7 linked regions of the Rattus norvegicus genome follow. The protein of the gene in region 1 binds, or shares a complex with, the protein of each later gene. Links are inferred from orthologs where the notes say so. Each region holds a gene or a part of one and is shown in the gene's direction. Other genes may lie near its edges. The genes, in order: Plrg1, Snip1, Snrpd3, Srrm1, Srrm2, Scnm1 and Cwc27.

What was found.
Region 2: Plrg1 (region 1) and Snip1 share a complex: the UniProt entries of both Homo sapiens proteins name them as parts of the minor spliceosome. The link is inferred for Rattus norvegicus from reciprocal best matches to the Homo sapiens genes PLRG1 and SNIP1.
Region 3: Plrg1 (region 1) and Snrpd3 share a complex: the UniProt entries of both Homo sapiens proteins name them as parts of the minor spliceosome. The link is inferred for Rattus norvegicus from reciprocal best matches to the Homo sapiens genes PLRG1 and SNRPD3.
Region 4: Plrg1 (region 1) and Srrm1 share a complex: the UniProt entries of both Homo sapiens proteins name them as parts of the minor spliceosome. The link is inferred for Rattus norvegicus from reciprocal best matches to the Homo sapiens genes PLRG1 and SRRM1.
Region 5: Plrg1 (region 1) and Srrm2 share a complex: the UniProt entries of both Homo sapiens proteins name them as parts of the minor spliceosome. The link is inferred for Rattus norvegicus from reciprocal best matches to the Homo sapiens genes PLRG1 and SRRM2.
Region 6: Plrg1 (region 1) and Scnm1 share a complex: the UniProt entries of both Homo sapiens proteins name them as parts of the minor spliceosome. The link is inferred for Rattus norvegicus from reciprocal best matches to the Homo sapiens genes PLRG1 and SCNM1.
Region 7: Plrg1 (region 1) and Cwc27 share a complex: the UniProt entries of both Homo sapiens proteins name them as parts of the minor spliceosome. The link is inferred for Rattus norvegicus from reciprocal best matches to the Homo sapiens genes PLRG1 and CWC27.

What each region holds. Positions count from the first base shown.
Region 1 is NC_086020.1:170,704,736-170,708,987, forward strand, and holds the start of Plrg1 (pleiotropic regulator 1), read left to right. Parts: upstream 1-1,452; 5' UTR 1,453-1,545; coding exon 1,546-1,554; intron 1,555-2,543; coding exon 2,544-2,650; intron 2,651-4,092; coding exon 4,093-4,235; intron 4,236-4,252. UniProt on the Homo sapiens protein: Involved in pre-mRNA splicing as component of the spliceosome. Component of the PRP19-CDC5L complex that forms an integral part of the spliceosome and is required for activating pre-mRNA splicing.
Region 2 is NC_086023.1:142,616,028-142,618,514, forward strand, and holds part of Snip1 (smad nuclear interacting protein 1), read left to right. Parts: intron 1-1,535; coding exon 1,536-2,119; intron 2,120-2,487. UniProt on the Homo sapiens protein: Required for pre-mRNA splicing as component of the spliceosome. As a component of the minor spliceosome, involved in the splicing of U12-type introns in pre-mRNAs. Down-regulates NF-kappa-B signaling by competing with RELA for CREBBP/EP300 binding.
Region 3 is NC_086038.1:13,131,989-13,134,920, reverse strand, and holds part of Snrpd3 (small nuclear ribonucleoprotein Sm D3), read left to right. Parts: intron 1-2,418; coding exon 2,419-2,611; intron 2,612-2,932. UniProt on the Homo sapiens protein: Plays a role in pre-mRNA splicing as a core component of the spliceosomal U1, U2, U4 and U5 small nuclear ribonucleoproteins (snRNPs), the building blocks of the spliceosome.
Region 4 is NC_086023.1:152,847,937-152,851,436, reverse strand, and holds part of Srrm1 (serine/arginine repetitive matrix protein 1), read left to right. Parts: intron 1-897; coding exon 898-1,026; intron 1,027-3,392; coding exon 3,393-3,500. UniProt on the Homo sapiens protein: Part of pre- and post-splicing multiprotein mRNP complexes. As a component of the minor spliceosome, involved in the splicing of U12-type introns in pre-mRNAs. Involved in numerous pre-mRNA processing events.
Region 5 is NC_086028.1:13,340,559-13,344,058, forward strand, and holds part of Srrm2 (serine/arginine repetitive matrix protein 2), read left to right. Parts: exon of another isoform or gene 1-541; coding exon 542-731; intron 732-3,163; coding exon 3,164-3,500. UniProt on the Homo sapiens protein: Required for pre-mRNA splicing as component of the spliceosome. As a component of the minor spliceosome, involved in the splicing of U12-type introns in pre-mRNAs.
Region 6 is NC_086020.1:185,391,023-185,395,045, reverse strand, and holds the start of Scnm1 (sodium channel modifier 1), read left to right. Parts: upstream 1-1,223; 5' UTR 1,224-1,334; coding exon 1,335-1,385; intron 1,386-1,437; exon of another isoform or gene 1,438-1,490; intron 1,491-1,603; coding exon 1,604-1,674; intron 1,675-1,936; coding exon 1,937-2,025; intron 2,026-2,121; coding exon 2,122-2,216; intron 2,217-2,320; coding exon 2,321-2,409; intron 2,410-4,023. Other genes in the region: Lysmd1 (lysM and putative peptidoglycan-binding domain-containing protein 1), read right to left, coding at 244-423. UniProt on the Homo sapiens protein: As a component of the minor spliceosome, involved in the splicing of U12-type introns in pre-mRNAs. Plays a role in the regulation of primary cilia length and Hedgehog signaling.
Region 7 is NC_086020.1:37,685,339-37,688,838, reverse strand, and holds part of Cwc27 (spliceosome-associated protein CWC27 homolog), read left to right. Parts: intron 1-1,577; coding exon 1,578-1,657; intron 1,658-2,488; coding exon 2,489-2,522; intron 2,523-3,500. UniProt on the Homo sapiens protein: As part of the spliceosome, plays a role in pre-mRNA splicing. Probable inactive PPIase with no peptidyl-prolyl cis-trans isomerase activity. As a component of the minor spliceosome, involved in the splicing of U12-type introns in pre-mRNAs.

The sequences.
Region 1 (4,252 bases):
AGCCAGCACAGGGTTTTATTTTTAAAGATATGTCCATCTTACTCTTTTTGTTTGTTCTTTTGTTTTTTCCTCTGCGTAGTTCTGGTCCCAGCTGTCCTGGAACGCAGAAATCAGACTACCTCTGCCAGTACTGGGATTAAAGGCATGTGCCAACACCTCTGGGCTAGAATTCTTAACCAGCCAAAGATCCTGGATCTCTTCAAAAACAAGGAAATAGGAGGAGGGAGGCCATAGCAAACAAGAAGAACACAGGTTCCTATGTGAACAAGAAATCTGCCTACGATATATGTGATTTATGGATCTCATAACTAGATAATAGGGTCACTTAAGGTCCTTATTAAGCCAAGAAGGTAATTTTCACATGGGTGACATAATTCGAGAGTTATAAGAAAAGCAAAACCTAGTGTGGTTACCTCTAAGATGGCTGTTGTGAGCCTTGTCCATAAGTTGTGTTCAGGATGACTATCTAACAAGTTTAATGAGAGCTGTCTAGTAGTCATATTAACATAGATATGTTAAGGTCTTTCTAACATTTCCTTAGTGTTTTGTGATTTAAAATGTTCTTTTCTAGGTTATTAATATTTTCTTGCAAAGTATACAAACGTTGACCACTTTTACAGAAAATAAGATCCTTTGACTAAACTCACATTTAAATTTAGAAATGCCTACTTGTGGGCTAGCTACAAAGACGGCTCAGGAGTTAAGGCTCAAACTAAAAGGACGGAAATGACTGTTTTCAGGCTAAAAATGCGACCTTCATGTTTTCATGAATTAAAATATTTGAATTTGAGTGAATAATTATGAATTAAAATATTTGAATTTGAATGAGAGCACTGGCTCACATTGCTATACCTGCGCTACATTTTCACCCTTCTCAAAGTATTCGCAGTACTCTCTGAGGACGGGATCATTGAACTTAATCACAGTTCAGGAAGATGCACAATCAGTGAAAATGCCTTATTTAAGATCACAAATAGCAACTACATCAATATAGAAAACACTTGGAAACGATCGAACGTAAGCCACAGATTTTATCTGGGTGAAACACAAAACGTCAACAGTTTAGCATCAGGTCAAATAAAGTAAAAACAACTTAAGTTCCCAATGGTTTCTGAAAAACGGCTTGCTTAGAATCTCTAAGCAGCACTTAGCTTCCGGAAACAAGTACCTCCCCTAAACAGGGCTTTAAGGCCCGCGCTCCCTTCGCTCCGGCTGGAAGCTCCGCCCTCAGCCAGGGGACTCCGCCCAGTTCCGCCGAGACCCGCCCCTCCCCGCCCCAAACCCCGCCCAGTCCCGCCCAGCAGCTGCCTAGATCCTACTCTTCGCCACGAGTCTCCGCGCAACTCCGCCTAGCTTCCGCCCTCCACCGCTAGACTCCACCCCTCGACCCCTGCGCGGCGGGTTGCCAATACGCATGCGCGGTTGGCGTCACGTCCGGCGACAGGCCCCAATCTCCGGAAGGAGCGGCAGAATAGTGGCGGCGATTTCTGCGTCGAGCATTTGGAGTTTCTTCGCTGCTGAACGGGTAGACTAAACGGCGGCGACATGGTGGAGGTAAAGTAACGCTCGGGCACTCGGGAGTCGTTTGTCTTTGGAGCTTTGCCCACGGAAGTAGGATGAAAGTACTGGGAATCTGGGGAAGCGAACTGTAGCCAAAACTGGTGGTCTTGGGCTGTCGGGGTGGGAGGAAGGCCGATGACATCCCGAATCCGAGGTTCAGTCGGCGGGAAGCCTGAAGGAATCTTGCAGTCGGTGTGTTGTTGGCATCTGGCCCTTTCCTGGGAGGCGGGGCTTCTGATGCTCCCACCTTGGCTGGGATGCTAGTCCGTGCTGTCTTGTCAGTTTCACAGTTATTTCATCTCTACCCCATTAAAGCTTGCCGTGCTTGATTTTGTTTGTTCTTGCGTATCCCAAACGTTTCTTATTCCCACCCACTGCGTTCCAGATCCACTGCAGTCCTCCTAATCTAGCCCAACATCTTTTGCCTGGACGAATTCTATAGCTTCCAAGTGCTTACGATTAACGAACACATTGAAGGAATGTAGTTCAGTGCTGCTTTCTGTCCCAGTGTTAAATGTTGGTGATGGCAGAGGCCTAAACCCCACCGACCTTCGGAACCCACACTCCCGCAGCATTCACAACTGCTGCAGTTCTGAATTATATGAACGTCTTCGCAGTGGCATCTCCCAGAGCTTGCACTGTTTGAACCTCTATTCTTTGTAAGGCTGTCTCCCTCTCTGCTTACCTGTCACCAGAGAGAACCTTTCTTGATTATATCTAGCAATTCTTTTTTCCCCTCTGAGTCACCCCATCGAACCCTCCAAAATGTGGAATTATTTTGCTTATTTTTGTGTGTTGTCTCTTGAACTCTGACCAGACAGGAGCTTTCTCATCTTTGTTGTTGGCTGCTGTAGTTTGTCACAGTTACTGAGGAGTGTTAGCCTTTATGTATTTAGCATGTAAAGTGCGTAATGAATCTAATGTTGATTAGAGCGTATGGGTCTCTTCTAGCTAGATGTGTGATCTTGATTGTCTCTTTACAGGAGGTACAGAAGCATTCTGTGCACACACTAGTGTTCAGGTCATTGAAGAGGACCCATGACATGTTTGTGGCTGATAATGGAAAACCTGTGCCTTTGGATGAAGAGAGGTAAGTTCTATTCCTTTTCAGTTGCTAAAGTATTTTATATTGATAGAAGAGCGCAAAGTGACAGAGAGGAGGTGACTTTGAAAGGTCTTAAAAATGCAGACACAGGATACTTGGGCAGTAGCGAGTGTCTTTTCATCATAATACAAATAGCATTAACTCATTTTGCTTATTTTTGTGTGTTGTCTCTTGAGCTCTGGCCAGACAGACAATAACTCTTGTCTATTTTAAAAATCTAATTATAGTTTACAGATACCCAGTGTGATGATTTGAAAGAGAATGGCCTCCATAGTTTCATGTATTTAAATGCTTGGTCTCTGTTGGTGGAACTGTTTTGGAAGGGTTAGAGGAGGTGTGTCATTGGGGATAAGCTGTAAGATTTCAGAAACCTACACCATTCCCAGTTAGCTCCCCTATCTATTGCTCCTTTTCTCCCCCCCTCTTTCCTCCCTTACCTCCCTCCCTCCCCCAACAACCCCCACATCATGCTTGTGAATCAGACGTAAGCGCTCAGCTGCTGCTCCAATACCATGCTTGCCTGTCTGCTCTCATGCTCCCTACTCTGATGGTCAAGGACTCTAGCCTCTTAAACCATGACCCCCAAATTAATACTTTCTTCTCTAAATTACCTCAATTATGGTGTTTGCCACAGCAATAGAAAAGTAGCTAGTACCCAGTAATTAGGGGCATTCCTGTCACGTTATCGTATTTCTAGTGCATCACTTTGTGCATGCTTTTAGCTTCCTGCTCTCAGACTCTCGTTGTGCTGAAATTGTTCTTGGCCAGTATCTCTTCTCCCATCTGTGCTCCTTGGTACAGTGAAGACTTCTAAGTGGCATACTCTTGGTTCTCACCAATCCTAGTCTGGGATTGTGTTGTATGCAGTGCCTTTCTCTGTCCTTTGCTTTTTCTTTATAATCTACTTAATTCCCCTCATTTGCATTTATATTTAATTTTTAAGGTGGATTATCTTTTTAAGTAATATAAGTACATTTATCTTTAAAATGCAGAGCTAATTTAGTGCTTTCATTGGGTCTGACTTTTTAGATTACTAATAAAGGTGTCTATACAAATTTTACTATATTCAGACATTTAAAGGTTTTTTTTAAAAGATATATTAGTTTATGTATGTCTTTAATTTACTTGGACCCTTGAGACCTCATTGAAAAAGGTTTTGTGTTTATTCAGCTGCAAACTATGGTCCTGCTTTGGATTAAATGACTACTGTATGGTAGATTGTGAGGTAAAGTAAATACATATGGTATAGAAATACATTTTGAAATTTCATATTTGTTAAAATACTAGTTAACTTGAAAAACATCCTGGATCTGTGAGTTGGAATACAGTATCTCTTTCTGTACTTGTGTTCTGCTAACTGAATATTTTCATTGGTGATGTGTTTCTAATATTTAAGGATGCATTTCATGTTTATGATTTTTAAATAGTCACAAGCGGAAAATGGCAATCAAGCTTCGTAATGAGTATGGCCCTGTGCTGCATATGCCTACTTCAAAAGAGAATCTTAAGGAGAAGGGACCTCAAAACGCACCAGATTCATATCCTCATAAGCAGTATCCTGCCAATCAAGGTGAAAACCATGAGGTT
Region 2 (2,487 bases), on another chromosome or scaffold:
AAGCGCAAGGCCCTGGGTTTGGTCCCCAGCTCCGGAAAAAAAAAAAAAAAAAAAAGTAAAAAGGGCTGGGGATAAAATTTAGAGTAAGTGCTTGTTTCCAGCCCCGCATCCTAGTCCCATTACCATTATGTGTGTATGCATATTGATGGAATATTAGCCTTAAAAGGAAGAAAATTCTGACACGTGCTACAAAATGTCTGAATCCTGATGACTTGCTTAATAAACCAGGGGGGAAAAGCATGATTTTGTAGTTGAGACAGGGTATCTCCTGCTAATTAGGCCCAGTTAGCCTGAAACTTGCTTGGTAGCACAGGCAGGCCTAGAACTCTTGATGATTCTCCTGCCTCAGTCTCCTGAGTGCTGATATTAAAGGTGTACCATCAACTGAACTCCACCAGAGGAGTGCATGCAAGCCTGTGTGTCCCTTTGGAGACAGGGTCTCATTCTCATTCTCTTAACTTCTAGAGACCCACCCACCTCTGACTCCTGAGGGCTGGGATTAGAGGTGTGCAGTCCCTTCTCTCTTGACAGGAATTGCTAATCTGAGAGAATTCCTACTTCTGTTAGCATTGGTACTGTGGTTATTAGAAGAAGCTCCCCTTCAGAGTCAGGCTAAGTGTTGGCTTCTTCTGGAAACTGCTTTGCACTTGGAGCTGTCACCTTACTGACTGACTTCTTATCCATCTATTGCTGCTGTTTTACAAAACAAGGTCTCTGTGTAGCCCTGGCTAACTCTGTACACAAGGCTGGCCTCAAACTCAAAGAGCTCTGCCTCCGCCTCCTGAGTACTGGGATTAAAGGTGTGCGCCACTGTGCTCATTGATCTACTGACTGTGTATTGCTGTTTGTGCGACGTTGATTTTCAGTATGTGCCTCCATTTTGTTAGAAATTTGGAAACTGCCAAGTAGTACTTTCTTGTAGGTTTCTTGAAGTGTTCGTGTTTCTTAGGTTTATCCATAGATGTTTGAATCATTTCTGTAATTGCTGAAGTTGAACCTTTTGAGATTATTTCAATCTCCTTTTGGCCTGTGAGGAAGTTAACTTTTCCCTTTATATATCTTACATGTGACTGTTCTGTTTTCTATACCTGCTACCCTGTGAGTTTGCCTGCAGGTGATTGAGAGAGGTATTTCTCCTTGTGGTAGGGTCTGGATGTGGGTTTGAGGAAGAGTATGGAATATGAAGTCTAAAGGCCCTTCAGGGGAAAGAACCACACTGATAGCCTTGTGTGGATAGGAATTTGTTCTGAATCCAGGCCACAGATGTGCTGTTGTTGTTTGAAATTGTTTAGCATATGCATGTCTGTACACCACATAATGTAGTGCCCACACTTACCACAAGAGGGCATTGGATTCTCTTGGAACTGTAGTTGTAGATGGTTGTGAACAGCTTTGTGGGTGTTGGGAAGTAAACATGGGTCCTCTGGAAGAGCAGTCAGTGCTCTTAATTGCTGAACTATCTCTCCAGTTCCTGCAGCTTGTTCACAGAGAAAGGGATGCTATCTTTCCCTTACTGAATCCCATCTGAATTTCAGGAACGGGAGGACCATCCACGGAGAGGACGAGAGGATAGGCAGCACCGGGAGTTATCAGAACAGGAGCACAGGAGAGCACGGAACAGCGAGCGAGATCGGCACCGGGGCCATGCCCGCCAAAGGAGGAGCTCTGATGAGAGGCCTGTCAGTGGGCAGGGTCGGGATAGAGACAGCCAGATCCTGCAGGCCCAGGAAGAAGAGAGGGACTTTAATAATGCCAGGCGCCGGGAGCACCGCCAGCAGAATGAGAGTGCTGGCGCTGAGGCTCAGGAGGTGATCCCTCGCCCTGCTGGTAACAAGAACAAAGAGGTGCCTGTTAAAGAAAAACCAAGCTTTGAACTTTCTGGGGCACTTCTTGAGGACACTAATACCTTCCGGGGTGTGGTCATTAAATACAGTGAGCCCCCAGAAGCCCGCATCCCCAAAAAACGGTGGCGTCTCTACCCCTTTAAAAATGATGAGGTGCTTCCAGTCATGTACATCCATCGGCAGAGTGCGTACCTGCTGGGGAGACATCGCCGCATCGCGGACATTCCTATCGACCATCCCTCTTGCTCAAAGCAACATGCAGTCTTCCAGTACCGGTAGGTAGACCAGAGGGAGGACTGGAAAGGGAGATGGGTGAACATCTCACTTAGCTTTCCTAAGGCTGACTGGCTGTGTGGAAATGCTGCTGAACCCATTACCCCTGGTCCAGTGAGCTGGACTGAAGGAGTACTGTAAGTCTTAACAACCTGTGGGTGATCTCCGGACATTTGTATGAGCGGCTTGAGTGTGATGTCAGAAATCCAGATATTAGCCTACCATTGTGTGGCAGTGTAGACCTGTAATCCTGGCTCTCGGGAGGCTAAGCAGGATTGGTGGTGTATATCCTCCTCTAGGTGTGGGTTATGTTCCATGACCCCATCTCTAAACAAACAAATAAATGATAGGAAGAAAGAGAAATTAAAAA
Region 3 (2,932 bases), on another chromosome or scaffold:
GGCTCAGCAGTTAAAGCACTTGCTGCTTTCCCAGAGGACCAGGGTTGGGTTCCTAGCACTCAGGGGATCTTAGCCCCACTGTCTCCAGCTTCTGCAGTCACACACACTCTACACTTAAATAAAATAAATCTTTAAGTATTTTAGATGCAGTTAAGATAAATACATTGCTTACAGATGATGCCTTTGGCTTTATGATGCCAACACCGGGCCTTCCCTGGGACTGAGTTACCATTTCTCCAGTAGCAGACAGGAGTGCATTAGAACAGTAACAGTTTGCTGCTGGATTGTTTGTCAGATGACATTGAGAACCCAACATAGGACATTAGTAGAAGCACCTAGTTTAAGTCTGGTTGGATCTGTATGACAGCCTTGTGGAGATTTTCAAGGCAAGTGGGGAGATGCTGAGTGGGAAATAAGACAATAATTGTACATCTCAAAAATAGACTTTGTAACTCAGATCAGACATTACTGGGTTTGTTATATCTTAGGTAGTCGAGACAACATTTAGACATGCTTTGCCCTGTTTAATTTTGTTTTTTAACAGCCCCAGTAAAGTATATTCCACTTCAAGATAGGGAGTAAGTAGTTCAGAGTCAGATAGACCTGGGTTTGAACTTACAGAACACATGAAGACAGTGTGATTTTTGTGCAGGAGGACAGGATGAGAAAAGGCGTGGACCTTCAGCATAGATCTGCCTCTGACAGGCCGTGCCTCCTGTAGGGTTTGATGGTATAAACTCAGCCATTTGGGGCAGTGCCTGCTGTTGACATTCGTACCCAGTAAACACTGGCTGTCGTTATGCTGTGATTCCGCTAGGTGGGGAGCTGGGACTCAGAACATTCTGAAGATGTGCTCAGGGTTACATCTGGAAGGTGTCAAGCCCAGGTCTCAGTGGAGGTCCTCATGCTACCTCGGTGTCTTCTACAGAGTCACAAACACGCCTGAAATTGGGGGATGGGATGGGGGAATCTGGTTCCAGTTGGGTAAGGAAGCGAATCCATAGCTGCTTATTTGTGGTAGCAGAGATTCTGTACCTGTCCCGGGCACTGCGGCGAGGACTCAGAAACCGAGACTCAAGGAGCTGGCGATAGAATTTTTAAGCCTGCAATTGGTTGGTGGGAAACTGGGCCCTCTTGACCTTGAATGTAGAACAGGAATGGTGGTTTGCAATCCTAGACACCATTCCCATTGCTCAGATAAAATGGGACAGCCTCAGAGCGTTGATGGATTTTGGTTTTGGTTTTCATGTTCAACCAGAAACCACCTGGTCCTTTAGAAGGAGCAAAGGCAGCAGCATAGAAGCCGGTCCTGGGAGACGGTGCCTCTGAAGATGATCTTTAAGCAGATTAATCCAGTCTTAGAAAGATAGCTGTTTTCTCTCATATGTGGTTCCTAGGTTTTATACTCATAAAATTATGTGTGTATATAGAAAATGAAAGTAGAAGTTGAGTTATTGGAGAATAAGGGGCTAACAGTGGGGAGAAGAGGTAAGAAAAGAAAGGGGAGGGGAAGCAGGTAGGGAAATATGTCCAATGTACAGTAAGACTACCCATGATTTAAATCTCATAAGGAAGGAATCTGGGAGCCAGCACATCCTTGCAGCATGGGCTTCACCCACTCTAGATAAAGTCTACTCCTTTCTGCCTACCCGATAGCAATTCGGCAATTATGGTAAACATGGCGTGGCTGGATTTGGTGCTGGCAGGATTATGTCACTGTCCTGTTCCCTGTGGGTCTCCTGACTGGACTCAGAGATCCCTCCTTCCTTCATCCTACGCAACACACGTGGGCACATTTGTCCTCCCAAAATACTGCCTGTTGAGCATTTCTCCTTCCACAGACTTGAGTGGTCTGCCGTTCTCTGAGGTGTGCTCAGGACTGCCAGATGTGCTGCTTCAGTGCACGCATGCCAAAAGCTCCTGCCCAGGTCTTCCTCTCCTTGTGCAGACTGGGAGCAGGCACTGCCTGTCACTCCTCAGTCCTGTCTAGTCATCTGTCTTCCTGATGTGTGCTGAGTCAGAACTATGTCTGCTGCCTATGATGACCCTGAAGGTGCCTTTCCAGCTGGAGTGCCAGCAGGTCCAGGAGGCTGCACACCTGTCACTCAACAACCTGGCCCAGGCGGATGCAAGCTGGGGCTCTGTGTCTGAGCTGCAGCGTGTCAGTGGTCTATCCTGGGTTTGTTTGATTGTAGTCTATAAAATGGGAGAGCCCATACTTCATCTGCCGTTTGTGTGAAGTGTGCAGTCCCTAACGCCTACAGAAGGTGCCAGCCATTGCTAGGGTAGTTTACAGCATTGTCTACTCCTTCCTGCTGGTGTGGGCTTCTGTGTTTCTAAACTTCTCCAGTTAAGGCTCGCTGGCTTTGTGTGCTCCAATGCTTTGACCTTGCAAATAAAATGGTGATTCCCTTCCAGATGTCCAACATCACAGTCACATACAGAGACGGCCGAGTGGCACAGCTGGAACAGGTGTACATACGTGGCAGCAAGATCCGGTTTCTGATTTTGCCTGACATGCTGAAAAATGCACCCATGTTAAAGAGCATGAAAAATAAAAACCAAGGCTCAGGGGCTGGCCGAGGAAAAGCTGCTATCCTGAAGGCCCAAGGTAGGTACCTTCCCTCGGCTGGCTTTAGAATTACTACGTACCTTGTTTCTTTTAGGGGAAAGGGTGAGTCTGATGGCACCATTCTTCACACTTGCTGCTAATCCTGTCCTGATCGTCCCCAGGCTTGAGAAATCCTTGGGAATGGAACTGTTTGTTCCCTGTTAGCTTTTTTGTCTTACTCAGTCCCATCACAGAGTTTAGTATAAAATCCCAAATCTCAAGCAAGGTGTGGTGCCTCATACCTGTAATCCCGGCACTTAAGAGGCTGAGGCAGAAGACATGGAGTGAGTGGGAGGCCAGCCTGAGCTACACACACAGCAT
Region 4 (3,500 bases), on another chromosome or scaffold:
TGGGTTCTGAAGAGTGTGGTAAGCTTTAGAAACTGAGCTGGGCTTACAGTGTCAGCGCTGGCTGGACAAGGAGCCAAGGACCGTTTGCATTGACTCCTTTCTCCTTTGTCAATGGTGACAAACTGGCTTAACTGTCATTTAAGTCTTTTGTGAGGTTGCTTCTAGTTTGTTAATATGTGGCACTTGGTATGTGGCTTGTGTCGGAGGTTTATTGTAGAACTCAGAATTGTCGTATTTGGTTCTTGAATGTCCTTTTAACCACATTACTCCCAGAGTGGCTCTAGTACTTGAGACAAGTTTGTGGTTTGTCTTTAGGGCATTGGTGGGTGTAATGCCCAGTCGGTTTTCAGTGATGGGACTTATCTTTCTTAGCGATAAGAGTGTGAAGGTTGGAGATAGAGCAGTCACCTAGTGTGTGCAGTCCCTCTGGGCTTCCCTCAGTCTCTGTGCTGTGGAGGAGGGGCCGCTCTAAGCCAGGGCTTCCAGATTGGTGTCTTAAGTAGTTTGGTGTCTGTTACATCAAAGTGTTTCTCATGAAGAATCAAAGTCAATTGAAAAACCTTTTCAAAACACAGCTTGGCTGAACTTAGCCCTCAAGTGGTTCACAAAAATCTCGGCTAAGTTTCCCAACTGATTATTATTTGTGTCCCAACTAAAATAAATGTTCTAGTGTCAGTTTTTTTATTTTCTTTTCCTCCCTCTGTTGGGTGGTTTATGTCATAACCAAATGTGTGTTTTTGCCTGAAGCTAACATCACAAAGCTGTCTTTTACTCATACCAAAAGCAAAACATAAATAAGTTTATGCTCTGGGTTAGTTAACCACTGGAAATATGCTTCCTGGAGGGATTTAAATTATGAATGTCACCGACTGAGGATAATTCTAATTTCTTGTTTAGTAGTAGAAGGAGGAGAAGTCCTTCCCCACCTCCTGCCAGAAGACGACGATCTCCTTCTCCAGCCCCTCCTCCCCCTCCTCCCCCACCTCCTCGGCGGCGCAGATCTCCCACCCCACCACCACGACGAAGGTACTGTGTCCAATTGACTCATGGTAACTCTGGGTCTTTGTGATAGAAGTTGCTTTGTGAGAGACATTGCATTGTGTGTCGTAAAGCGTCACATAAGTGTGAGCTCCTTTATGGGTCACAGAACTCTGTAGAAACAGAAAATAGGTCAGGGCAGCAGTGATGCTAACCTCTGATCCCAGCACTCAGAAGGCAGAGGCAGGCAGGTCTTTGCATTCAAGTCCACCCTGATCTACAAAGGGAGTTCAAGGAAGGACAGCCAGGGCTACACAAAAAAACCCTGCAGAGATTTGCCGGGAGGAGGGAATATGAGAATGAATGAATGAATGAATGAATGAATGAGAGAGAGAGAATGAATAGGAGCCAAGAGTATTATGCTCAGAATCTAAACTCTTGAAGGGCTGAGGCAGGGAAATTTTGACTTGAGGTCAGCCTGGGTATAGAGAAGCTAAACCTTGCCCAACAAACAAACAAGGGGAGAAGAAAATAGATGGATATCCAGGGTGAGGGAGTGAGAAATGTCAGCTCTTTAGTACAAGAGTCTTTGGAAACCATCTAAGTGCACGTTGGCCATTGCACTGAGCTGTTGCAATGTGCGCAGCTCCAAAGCCTCGATGATCAATGCTCCTGCTGGTCATGTAGAACCCTAGTCTGACAGGTGCTGGGAGTCCCAAATCAAAAGGATAATCCATGAAGGAAGAGGTTAGAGCCCTTCAGAAAATGACATCATGTGGTGCTGTGTGTGTCAGCACACCAACATAATCTTGGCTCTTAGGAGGCAGAGGCAGAAAGATCAGCCCTGGTCTGGAACCAGCCTAAATTTGTTTGTGTGTGTGGTTGATGGCAAGCACTCACTGTAGAATGATCCTTTGTTTCCGTTAGTGGGGTATTATCTTTTCCTAGGCAGCAGTTGTTCTCCTTTAATAAAATTTTAGTGAATATAGCAGACAGACCTCAGATTTGAGGCTGAGCTACTTCCGAGCTATTGGGATTACAAATTGGATCCACTGTGCCTAGCCAGAATTATTAAATAACTATCCAGTTCTGTTTTACCACTTTGCCTGAAGATTGGCTTATTATAAACCTAGATCTGAACAGGAATTTTTGTTGAAAATCCAAGCACGAATTGTGCAGTTTTCCTAAATGTTGTATTACTTGGTAATTTTTATAGAACATAACAGGATTTTGTCACCTTGAACAGAAAAGCTGGCTCGAGCTTTTAGAAATACCTTTGCGGGGCTGGGGATTTAGCTCAGTGGTAGAGCGCTTGCCTGGCAAGCGCAAGGCCCTGGGTTCGGTCCCCAGCTCCGAAAAAAAAAGAAATACCTTTGCCTGGCAGTGAATTTACACTAAAAATGGTCCTTTGAGACAGAAGACTTGGCAGTCTGTTGAAAGCTTTTCACTAAAAAACTAGGATGCTAGTTCAAAGGAGACAACAGTGCCATTGCATGCAACCTTCTTAGTTTGTTTATTGTAGAGTGCTTTGTCTACATATCTGTGTGTGCGCTGTGTACCTGGTGACCATGAAAGCCAGAAAATGGCATTGGATCCCCCTTAAATTTGAATTCACAAGGTTTTGTGAGCTACCACATGGATGAGTGCTCAGCACCAAGCCAGGCCCTGTGCAAGGTCAGCAAGTGCTCTCTGGAGGTGAGCCTTGTCCAAGCAATGGCAGCACAGATGCTCAACTGCAGGCAGGCAGACCTCTCTGAGTTTGAGGACAGCCTTGTCTACAGAGCAAGTTCCATGACAGCCAGGACTACACAGAGAAACTCTTGTCTGAAAAACACCAAAGTGGGGGGTGCAGGGTGGGGGCCATCTCTCCAGCTCCTGTCACAGTAGAACTCAAGTCTGCTTTGCCTGATTGCCTGGTTTGCTTTAACCAATTGCCTGGCAACACAGTTACCACACACAGTGTGAAGTTCTCTTGTGAAACACTACTTTGTTTTATATAATTGTATACATTTTCTTGGTTTGATGAATTTTAATTGTTTCTGAAATTTTCAACTTTCTCCATTAAATACAACACAGTATCCTCTTGTCACTCATGGTGGAGTGTGTATTACTTTGAAATATATCTCCTACAGCATAGTTATGGCTAGTTACTCTTTAGTTAATTTTCCTGATTCTGGATTGACTAGCAAGATGGCTCAGTGGGTGAAAGTGCTTGCCATCAAACTGTAGTGCTCTAAGTGTGATCCCATAATCCTAAAGGTGGGTGGGGAGAATTGCTGCCACTAACCCAACCAGCCCTAACATGCATGATGTGGGTGTGCACAAACAACAGCAGCAGCAGCAATAGCAACAACGGTTTTAATATTTTGGATACTGTCCATTTCATCTTTATTGCTGTGTTGTTTTTTTTCTAGGACCCCTTCTCCTCCCCCACGCCGCCGCTCACCGTCTCCAAGAAGATACTCTCCTCCCATCCAGAGGAGATACTCTCCTTCCCCACCTCCAAAGAGGAGAACTGCCTC
Region 5 (3,500 bases), on another chromosome or scaffold:
CAGACATATACATTTCCCCTTGTCTTTTTTATTTTATTTTATTTTTATTTTTGTTTGTTATGATGTATATGGACTACCAGAATAGGGCGGGGGTGGTTTGGTGGTGTCTGGGGGAGGAAGGAGTCCTTACCCTGGCTTCCTTAATCGGGGAAGGCTTCCTGAAGGAGGTGGGCTCAGAGGTGAGTTATGAATGAAGTGGGTAGGGAAGGGCCTGGGTGGAGGGTTTGGGTATGTTGGAGGGTGGGGAATAATGGGGTAGAGGGACTTAAATTATTTGGGATTATATTGGGAAGAGATAGAACAACAAAAGAGGACTCATTTGCATCTTTGAAAATGAATTTTCATGTGACAAAAAAGGTTTTTTGTTTGTTTTGTTGGTTTTTTGTTTTGCTTTTTGTGTTTTTTGTTTTCATTTGTTTTTTGTTTTTGGAAAGAAGGTTTTACATATAGGAAAGTGGATTGCCAGCTGGGGGTGGAGGGGGTTTTCTGTTCTTCCTTGAGCTGATTTTCCTGGTCTCCCCTGCCCTTCATTAACTCACAGGTCTCGAAGTGCTGCTGCTAAAATTCATACAACATCCTTGACTGGGCAAAGTCCTCCCCTTGCTTCAGGGCATCAAGGGGAGGTAGATGCACCTAGTGAACCAGGTGCCACCAACATACAACAGCCTAGTAGCCCAGATCCCTCTACAAAGCAATCTAGCAGTCCTTATGAAGACAAAGATAAGAAGGAGGTATGTTCTGAGTTCGTTGGGTTGCAGGGTTTTACTCAGGGTTGCACCTTAAATGGGCAAGTGTTGTAAATAGTGTAGAGTAGCTTATTAAGAAGAAATCTTATCCTTTAGATTGTGGTCAGGTTCAGAGATCAAGGTTGGCAAGCAGCTATAGAAGGCAGTAAGTGTGTGTGTGAGTGGGTTGGGTGGTGGTTTCAGAGAAGCATACCGATAATATAAGCAAATATGAAGATTTTTGGACAGTTTTCAAAGAAGATAGAATGAGAGAAAGGAGAATTCTCTGGGTTAGAACTCAGCAATGTGGATAAGTTTAGTGGTGCATGATGTCCATCTGTAAATATTCTATAAACAACTGCTGAGAAATATTTGATTCCTCATTCAGTTACCAAGTCCTTTTACATACCTGCAAGTACTTAAGAGGACCTACTAAATTGTGAAGTCTTCAGAAAAACTTCAGTGGATATTAGTAGGTTTTATATCAGTAATTTGTTTATATTCATACAGCGATACAAAAGGTTTTATTTTTTTTTGAAACCAGAACATTTATTTTATGACTATTAAAATCCTTAAGATGAACTGGATGCTACAACAGCTAAAGTGGCCCTCTTGGGTTGATGTGTTATTCCTTCTAGGAATCCATGTCTGAATCTATGACAGTTTTAGGCACGGTAGTGCTTTGTCTCTAATTCTTGAATCCAGTTAAACTTCCTCTTGCACTTGGCAGAGTAGCCACATTTGCCACGGGTCAACTTCTGAAGGTGGTGGTATGCGCCTTACAGCTACAGGAGCGGCACAATGTGTTTGTCTAATTGTGACACTCTATAAAGGATGATGTTTTCTTTTGTTATCTTGCCTCTGCCCAACAAAAGATTTTTTTAAAAATATTTTAACTTTATTAAAGTATATATTTCCTTTTTTATGCTTGTCATCAGTTATTAAATTTTTCAATCCTTAGACATGTTGCCACCAACATAAAAACATGAAGGAATTATCTTTTTAGTAGTTCCTGTTTTATATCTTCTAGATCTGTGGCTGATTGTTTCTACTAGATTCAGTAATTAGTGTAACTTAATATCTCCCATGTTGTGGCTTATTTAAAGATAAGTTACAAGTTGATCATTTCAGAAAACTTAGCTGCTTGCTATAATGCTTTGGTGTTTTCTGTAATTAAGGTGGTTTTATGGTTTGGCCTTATTTGTGTAAGACCTTAGTAAATTAATTTTTGTGTGTATGTATGAAGGGAAGGCGTATGTTATGTGTGCTTGGAGGTCAGAGGACTTATGTATGTGTTCTGTGGATTGAACTCTGGTTAGCAGGCTTATGTTGCAAGTGCCATCTCATTGGCTGTTGGTCAGTATTTTTGTTTTTGAGACAGGGTCTTACACAGGCCCTGGCTGTGCTGCAATTCACTACATAGTTCAGGCTGGCCTTGAAATCACAGAGTTCCACCTGCCTCTGCCTCCGGAGTACTGGAATTAAATGCATATATATGGTCATGCCAGGCCCCTCTTGGAAAATTTTGACATAAACCATACTCTTTAAAACCTTGTGCCCATTTCTGATATTTTAACTTAAGTCAGTCCCCATATTCAGGTATAAAGTTATTGTCACCCAAGGTGCTTTCTCTTTTTGTTTAATTATATCTTTTTTGGGTGGTGTGGTAGTATTCATTTGTAACCCACACATACTGCCAGACTCCTTCCCTTGAAAAGGAAAAAGCGGGGCTGGGGATTTAGCTCAGTGGTAGAGCGCTTACCTAGGAAGCGCAAGGCCCTGGGTTCGGTCCCCAGCTCCGAAAAAAAGAACCAAAAAAAAAAAAAAAAAAAAAAAAGAAAAGGAAAAAGCATGCAATGGAGAGGATTTATCTGATGAATTCAAAACACTCATCAAAAGATATTGACTAAATTTAAGAGAACAGTGCACAGAGTGAAAAAAAATTAACAAGGAAGATAATAAAAAACTGGGAAATGACTCAGGCGAGTAATTGGTATGCAAGTATGAGGCCTGGTGTCTCATCTGTAATCCCAGCATGCAAAATGGAGACAGGGCTATCTGTCTATAAGGCATATAATCAGGTTTTGCCCCCTGCTACCTTATTTTCTCATTGTAAAAAAATGCATTTATTTGTGTGTGTGTGCGCGCGCGTGCACATGACAGGTGCACATGTACGGGTTATTGAACAACTTTGAAGAGTAAGTTTTTCTCTTTGCCACTAAATGGGCCCAATGGTTTGTAGCCAACTAAGCTATCTTACGGACTCTTTATTAAGCATTGCATGTTATCTTGTTACTGAGTGCAACTATGGGTAGGGAAAGTCAGTATGGTATAAGAGGTATGTAGAGTAAATTTTTATTAGAAACTGTTCATATCTTACGGGTAATAATGAAGTTTTGGTGTTTTATTACTATTCCCACTTTTCTTTTCACTCTTAGAAATCTGCAGTTCGACCTAGCCCCTCTCCGGAAAGGAGCAGCACAGGGCCAGAACTACCTGCCCCCACTCCGCTCCTTGTTGAGCAACATGGCGACTCCCCACGACCCCTTGCAGCAATCCCGTCCAGTCAGGAGCCAGTTAACCCCTCATCTGAGGCTTCCCCAACCCGGGGCTGTTCACCACCTAAGTCTCCTGAGAAACCTCCCCAGTCATCTTCCTCAGAGAGCTGCCCACCATCCCCTCAACCTACCAAACTTTCTCGGCATGCCAGCTCTTCTCCTGAAAGTCTTAAACCCACACCAGCTCCTGGGTCCCGTCGAGAGATTTCTTCTTCAC
Region 6 (4,023 bases), about 15 Mb from region 1:
AAGTTGATAGGGGCACAAGGTCTGGTTAATGGCTGAAAGCCCCGCCCCCACTCACCCACCTTCACGGGAGCTGCTCCTCCCACTGGGATAGCTGGGCAGATCTGGCCCAATAGTACTACACAAAGATGTGAAAGCAAAATAAGAAAAAAACAGGCCATAATATAATTTGGGTAATGTCAGAGGTGGTTGCTTAGCGGGCCACCCACTTTCTCCTGGGGACTACCTCAATCCTGGAAGACTCACCGTCACCCCGTATTTGAGTGCTAATCCAGCCAGGGTGTCTCCAGGCTCCAATTGATGCTCCAGGCGTCTTTCCCTCACTGGGGAGCAGGATGATTGTACCAGGCTTCCATAAGAACGAGCACGGCTCCCACGTAGCAGCCCTGACCCTCCGAGGGGAGGCTGTCTAGAGGGCGAAGCCATCTCCTCACTTCCAAGATCTAGGGTCACAACTGAGGAAAGCCCAGCTAAGTGACCAACAGTGACGGCTGAACCCAGAGAATGGATATTCAGAAAATTCTTTTTCTCTTTTCTCTTCAGTCTCCCGACTCTCGAGAGACTACATTCGTCCTCCTCCTCTCGATGCTTCTTACGGAGCTCGGAATTACAGTTCGTATCTTAAGAAGTCTTCCAGGCCGGTTACATTTCTTCTTCCTCAAGCCCCTTACCCATAAATATCTTCCCTGAGTTGTCAGTCGCTGACCCCGTGGACTTTCGACGCCCCCTCCCCAACTCCTCGCAAGCCTGATCTCTGACCTTTGAACCCTAGACACCCTCATTAACACTCTTCCCTCAGTGTGTCCCTACATCCAACAGTCAGGACGCCGGGAGCCCCCACATCCTCTCTGTTCCAAATAAAACCCACCCCAGGTAGGTTGTGGCTGAGGAGGACGAGCCTGAGGACTACAAGTTTGCAATATAGAGTCCACTGAGATCCCCCGAAGCCTCCCTCCACCTCAGGAGGGTCCCACCCTGAAATTCCGGCTCCACGTACAGGATCTTGGGTCTCCAAACACCTGGATCCTTCGAGATGCGAGGACCTGTGTCCAGGTGAGCGGTGTTCTCTCCAAAAAAATTAAAAAATAAAATAGATAACCAAAAGACTTCATTTCCCAAAAGGCACAGCGTCCAGGCAGTATCATAGGAAATACAGATCCCCTCAGGGCGCTGGAGGCGGGTCTTCCGGCTTGCGCGATGCATGCGTGGAAAAGCATCCCCGGAAGTACAGACTCAGAAAGAAACCGGAAGCAGAGAAGGCGATAGTGTACTCTTCCTACGGTGGCCTAAAGGAGCAGCGAAGTAGGCGTAGAATTTATCATATTCTCATAGTCGCGATGTCTTTTAAGAGGGAAGGGGACGACTGGAGTCAGCTCAATGTGCTCAAAGTAAGCCCTAGTGAGAGTCACCTGATCACCTTCAGCCGCCCTGTTGCTTTGGTTTGTTGCTTTGGCGACATCTAGGGGAGGGTGTTAGGGGACCAGAACTGAGAGGTGACCCCATTTTCTACCCTATGATCTGCATGGCCCCGTGCCATTTGACTCCTCTGTATTATTTAATATCCATCCGTTCCTCTCATTCATTTCTTCTATCCTGCTTCCTGCAGAAACGAAGAGTTGGAGACTTGCTAGCTAGTTACATCCCCGAGGATGAGGCGCTGATGCTGCGGGATGGACGGTGAGAGCGAAGAGTGGATCAAGCCTGGGGATTCGGGGATCAGAGGCTCAACAAACTTTTGTTACTAAGGAGTTCAGGAGTATAATAGTATTCTTTGGCTGGAAGTGAAGGGGTGGAGATTGGGAAACCTGGGAGTTGGAGGAGTGCTATGACAGAAGTAGGATCTACTCACCATAGCAAGTACACCGCGACTGCAGGCTGGAACACAAAACACACGCGCACACGCACACACACTTATAATTCACTTTTCTTGTTTCCCTAGCTTTGCTTGTGCCATCTGCCCCCATCGACCAGTACTGGACACCCTGGCCATGCTGACAGCTCACCGTGCAGGCAAGAAGCATCTATCCAGTAAGTTAAGAGAAGTAGGGAGGGCGGGAGATAGAGAATGAACTCTTGACATTTTGGCAAAATCTTTTCATTCTCCCTTGCTTTTCTTCTTCCTAGGTCTGAAGCTTTTCTATGGAAAAAAGCAGTCAGGCAAGGGAACAGAGCAAAATCCACGACCGCAGAACGAACTGAAGACAGAAAGCAAAACTGAGGTGAGGGCATCAGTGTTGTTTAGACGGGGCTATACTGCACGCAACAGGCATGAGGGGCCATTTGCTTCTGACAGCTTTGACTCACTCTCTTCTCTCATTGTCAGGCTCCTTTGCTAACCCAGACTCGAATAATCACCCAGAATGCTCTACACAGAGCTCCCCACTATAACAGCTGCTGCCGGAGGAAGCACAGGTCAGTGGAATGAGAAAGCCAGGAGTGGAAAAGGGTAGAAGCAAATAGATGACTTTAAAGTTATTACTCTGCAAACTGTCTTCTGAGAAATACTAATCTTGTGGAAATTTTTTTTTAATGACAGTTAATGATTTTAAAATAAAACTTTAGGAAATGGAATATTGTAGCATAATCCTACTTAAAAATAGTAACATTAAGGGTTGGTGAGAGAACTCAGTGTTTAGGAACATAAGGGGCTCTTCAGAGGTCCTGAGTTCAATTCTCAGCAACCACACAGTGGCTCACAACCATCCATAAAGGGATCCGATGCCCTCTTCTGGTGTGAGGATGTACATACAGACAAAGCACTCATATTTAAAAATGCATAAATAAATACATTTTTATAAAAAGAGGGGGCTGGAGAGATGGCTTAGTGGTTAAGAACACTGACTGCTCTTCCAGAGGTCCTGAGTTCAAATTCCAGCAACCACATGGTGGCTCACAACCATCTGTAATGAGATCTCATGTCCCCTTCTGGTGTGTCTAAAGACAGCTACAGTAGACTTATATATAATAAATAAATAAATCTTTAAAAAAAAAAAAAACTAGTAACATTAGCAGGGAATGGTGGATGGTAGTACACTTTTTTGTTCCTTTGTTACTGAGACAGGGTCTCTCTTTGTTGCCCTGGCTATCCTGGAACCCTGCTATTTAGACCAGGCTGGCCTAAATTCAGAGATCTGCCTGTCTCTGCTCCTCAAATGTTGGGATTGAAGGTGAGCAGTTCCATGCCTAGCTTTGGAAAGTCTTAATACAAAAACTTAGAACTGTATTTGTCAGGTTCTCTAAAGTCACAGAATGTATAGAATGTCTCTCTATAGTGAGGGAATTTATTGTGGTGACTTACAGTCTACATTCCAACTATCCCAAAAAAGGGTAGCTGTGGATGGGAAGTCCAAGACCCTAGGAGTTGCTCAGTCCCATGAGGCTAGTTGTTTCAGCTGGTCTGCTGTGGACGTAGATTCCAACAGATGTGCTGGCAAGTCAGTGCAAGCAGGTGAAGAAGAGTGAGTCTTCCTACTTCCAACGTCCTTATGTAGACCTCCGACAGAAGGTGTGGCTCAGATGACGGTGTGGACCACCACTCCTGGATCTGGGACTTGCTTTGTTCCAGGCTGACCTTGAACTCAGAGGTCTCCTGGCCCGTCTCCTGGGATTAAATGCCTGTACTACCTTGCCTGGGCCTAAGCTTTTCATGGCCACTGTGGCTCAAGATCTCCATGCCAATATCCAGATCAGATACTTGTGTCTTCCAACCTCAAGATCTGGATCACAGATGTGCCCTCCAATTCTGGATTGTAGTTCATTCCGGACATTCTCAACTTGACAACCAGGAATAGTCATTACAAACTATTAAGCTAGTTTTTCCTTAAATTCCTTTTTTCCCTTTTATTTTTTATTTTATGTGCATTGGTGTTTTTACTGTATGTATGTCTGTGAGAGGATGTCAAAGGTGAAGTTTAAGATACTTGTGTGTTGCCATGTGGGTGCTGGGAATTGAACCCAGGTCCTCTGGAAGAACAATAGCCAGTGCTCTTAACCATTGAGCCATCTCTCTGGCCCCAGCTTTTCTCA
Region 7 (3,500 bases), about 130 Mb from region 1:
GCTGTAGTGGGAAGGGGTGTATGTTTAAGTCTGCTTTTGACCTTCTGTCTTCGTGCTAACTTAATTTGAAAGGTTAAGGAAAACCTAGAGTGGGGATGATTAATTCAGCTTAACTTACAAATTCTTCCTGTTTTCATGTCTTACTTCTTTTTTCTTTTAGCTGTTTAAAGTGAGTTTTCATTGAGAGCTCAACAAGGACTTCTTTTCTTTTTCCTCCTCCTCCTTTTTTTTTTTTTTTTTTTGGGTCCTTTTTTTAATTTTAACTTTTAGACAGTGCCTTGCTAAATAGCCCCAACTAGCCTCAGATATGCAATCTTCCTGTTTTGGTCTTGAAGGTTAGTATTACAGCATGTAACACTGGGAAGAACTTTCTTTTTTAAAAAGTAATATATTTAAACTGGCATATAAAATTATATATATAGTGTACAACCTATGTAAATACAGTAGAATGTCTGAGTTAAGCTAATTAACATACACCCACTTCACAAACCACATGCACGCTGTCGCTGTCGTAAGAGCGTTTGACATCTTTCTGTAGGGCTGGAGAGATGGCCCAGAGGTTGAGAGCACTGGTTCAGAGGACTCAGCTTCGGCTCCCAGCAGCCACATGGCAGTTCACAGCTGTCTGTCACTCTGGTTCCAGGAGATCTGTTCTGACCTTGAGGGATCCAGGCTGTGGTACACAAACATACAAACAGGCAAAACATTGATATACGTAAAATAAATAATTAAAAACATAAATAAATAAAATCTCTGTGATTTCTCAGGAGCACAAGAATTCATCTTTATAAATTTAGCATTATTAATAAATAACATGCACCTGCAGTGGACCTTAGTTACAACCTTGTTCCCACTATTTGTCAGTGTAATTTTCATTGTCTGTCTTGTCAGTGAAGAGGTTGACACAGAGGGTCAGAGGCTAACTTTGGATGTGGTGTATTACTGTATATTAAAGGGTGGTAGTATGCATTTGTCTCAATTTATTCTTGTTTTTATCCGTGGGTTGTCGAAGTTAATCAGTTGTATGTGAACCATAGGTACTCAGAGCTGGTGAGCCACTGACTTCTTTTTTTTTTTTTTTTGGTTCTTTTTTTTGGAGCTGGGGACCGAACCCCGGGCCTTGCGCTTCCTAGGTAAGCGCTCTACCACTGAGCTAAATCCCCAGCCCCAAGCCACTGACTTCTTTTTGACAGTGTCACTTATTCTGGGGAGATGATCCTAAAAGAGTGTTTAGATCCATGAGTGGTGCTGCACACTTAGAATCCCATTGCAAGATGCTGACAGAGAAAGATCATGAGCTCTAGGTCAGTCTGCCCTGCAGAGAAGACTCAAGGCCATCTTAGGCTAGAACTAGATGGAGAGACTGTGCCTTATAAAACAAACAAATAAGTAAAACTTAATTAACATAAATAAGTAAAAATCCTATGTTCAGTTGATAGAAGGATTATATTCATAAACTCATCCTTTACTAAGCATACTATGTCCCCACCTAATTTCATGTGAATTTGTTAACTTATCTTTTCGGAAGACCTTTCATTTCCTACTCTCAGCTCTATTGTTTGTCCCTTCCTTCCCAGAGCATGAAGGGGAGAAGTAAAAGCAGCCATGACCTGCTGAAGGACGATCCGCATCTCAGCTCTGTCCCGGCCGTCGAAAGGTCAGTGCAGTGCAGCCATGACCTGACTTCCTGCTATTAGGCTTCTTCTCATTCACTTGGTTCGTTAAAAATCAGAGCTCATAACTTACATTTCTTAAGCCCAGCCAAAGCAATAATACATTTTGATAAGTGATTAATCACAGGCTAGTCTGATTACTGGAAACTCCGTTGTAATATATCATGTTTAGTTCCATATTGCTGTGCTAACTGTCTTCGGAGTTGTTTTGTTTGGTATCATGACTGACCATGAGAGTATAAGGTTACTGGAAGACGTTACCACATTCTGGGCTCATCTGCTGTGTACAAATTCTCACAACTTTCAGACTTGACAGCAATCTGTCTTAATTGTCTTCGTTGCCTTTGTTTGAGAGGTGGGAGGTGAATTGGTATTAAATATATTCATTACAACAAAATATTGGCCCATGTCTCACACAGAGATAAAATACTGTTGTACTGAGGTTAATTCATCTTTAAAAATCGTATTTTAAAATATCCTTTAATTTGTAGGACTTGGTCTCTTTAGCCAGCATCTTTTAAGCTATAGAAAAGATGTTTTCTGTAGATTGAATAGTCTTGTTAGTGGTTATTTGAATTAAAAAAAAAATTGAAGGAATTCTTGTATCTACTAGTAGAGCAGCATATTTCTTCCTCTGTTTATAAAAGGTGGCTCCATTCGAGCATGTTCCCATCTGCTTTACAATGCCACTCAGAGAATGCTGTGGTGAAAAAAAATCATTAATTTCAGAAAACTAGTTTACACTTTAGATAATTAAATCCTTTTATTAGTTTCATGTTGAAGCTAAAATGTATTTGTTTTACTTATTTTTGTAGTGAAAAAGATGATGCAACAGGAGATTTAGAAGATGTGAGTATTCATTTTAGTATAAATACAGCTTGAACAAGTTACAAATAGGTCAGAGTTCTACAAACAAATTACTATTTTAAGCAAAACATATAATATAATTGCAATTTTTTAAATGAAAATAATTTCTCTTACTATCAGAATATTTACTTCTAAATAGATTTGTATATTTCCCTACAGAATTGCAATCTTACATGTGAATTTCTGCTTTGCCTTTTCTGTCTGTCACATGACCTAAGCTCAAATGCAATAACTTGATTTTGTTAAAGGTTTAGATGTGATCAGTGAGCATCCTGTGTGCATATGGGAAGTTCATAGAGGAGATGTTTATAACAGTGCACTCCTTTTTTACACATGCTTCAGAAGAGCCTCTTTTAAGGCTGTACCTTTATTACTAGCTAGCAATGTTGGGAGCAGAAGGAAAGGCCAGTGAGATAGCTCAGTAGTAAAGGTGCTTGCTCTGGAGCCCAAGGACAGGAGCTCAGTTTCCCTGCCCACAGAGAAGGAGAGTCAAGCTGTGGCAAGTATGCACTTATGTACACACACACACACACACACACACACACTCACACACTCACATACACACACACACACATACACACTCACACACACACACTCACACACTCACATACACACACATACACACTCACACACACACACACACTCACACACACACATACACACTAAATAAATGTAGAAATAATGTTTTGTAGGCTGTGTAAAGTTTACCCTTATGTTATCCAAATGCTGATTTCTCTGCCCACACATCTTGTTTCAACTCGGACACAGCATTGTGATGCTTATACCGAGAATTCCCTGTCTCAAGCTTGTGTAAACAGTTCTTACCATTTACTACATGAATGGATGCTGATCACCCAAGGGTGGGGCAGCATAGAGCGTGGGGTGGGATATCCACAAGCTATCTTCTAGGGAGAGGAAGATTCAAATGTGTCTGAAGGAGAGAGGAGTTGGAACCATTTG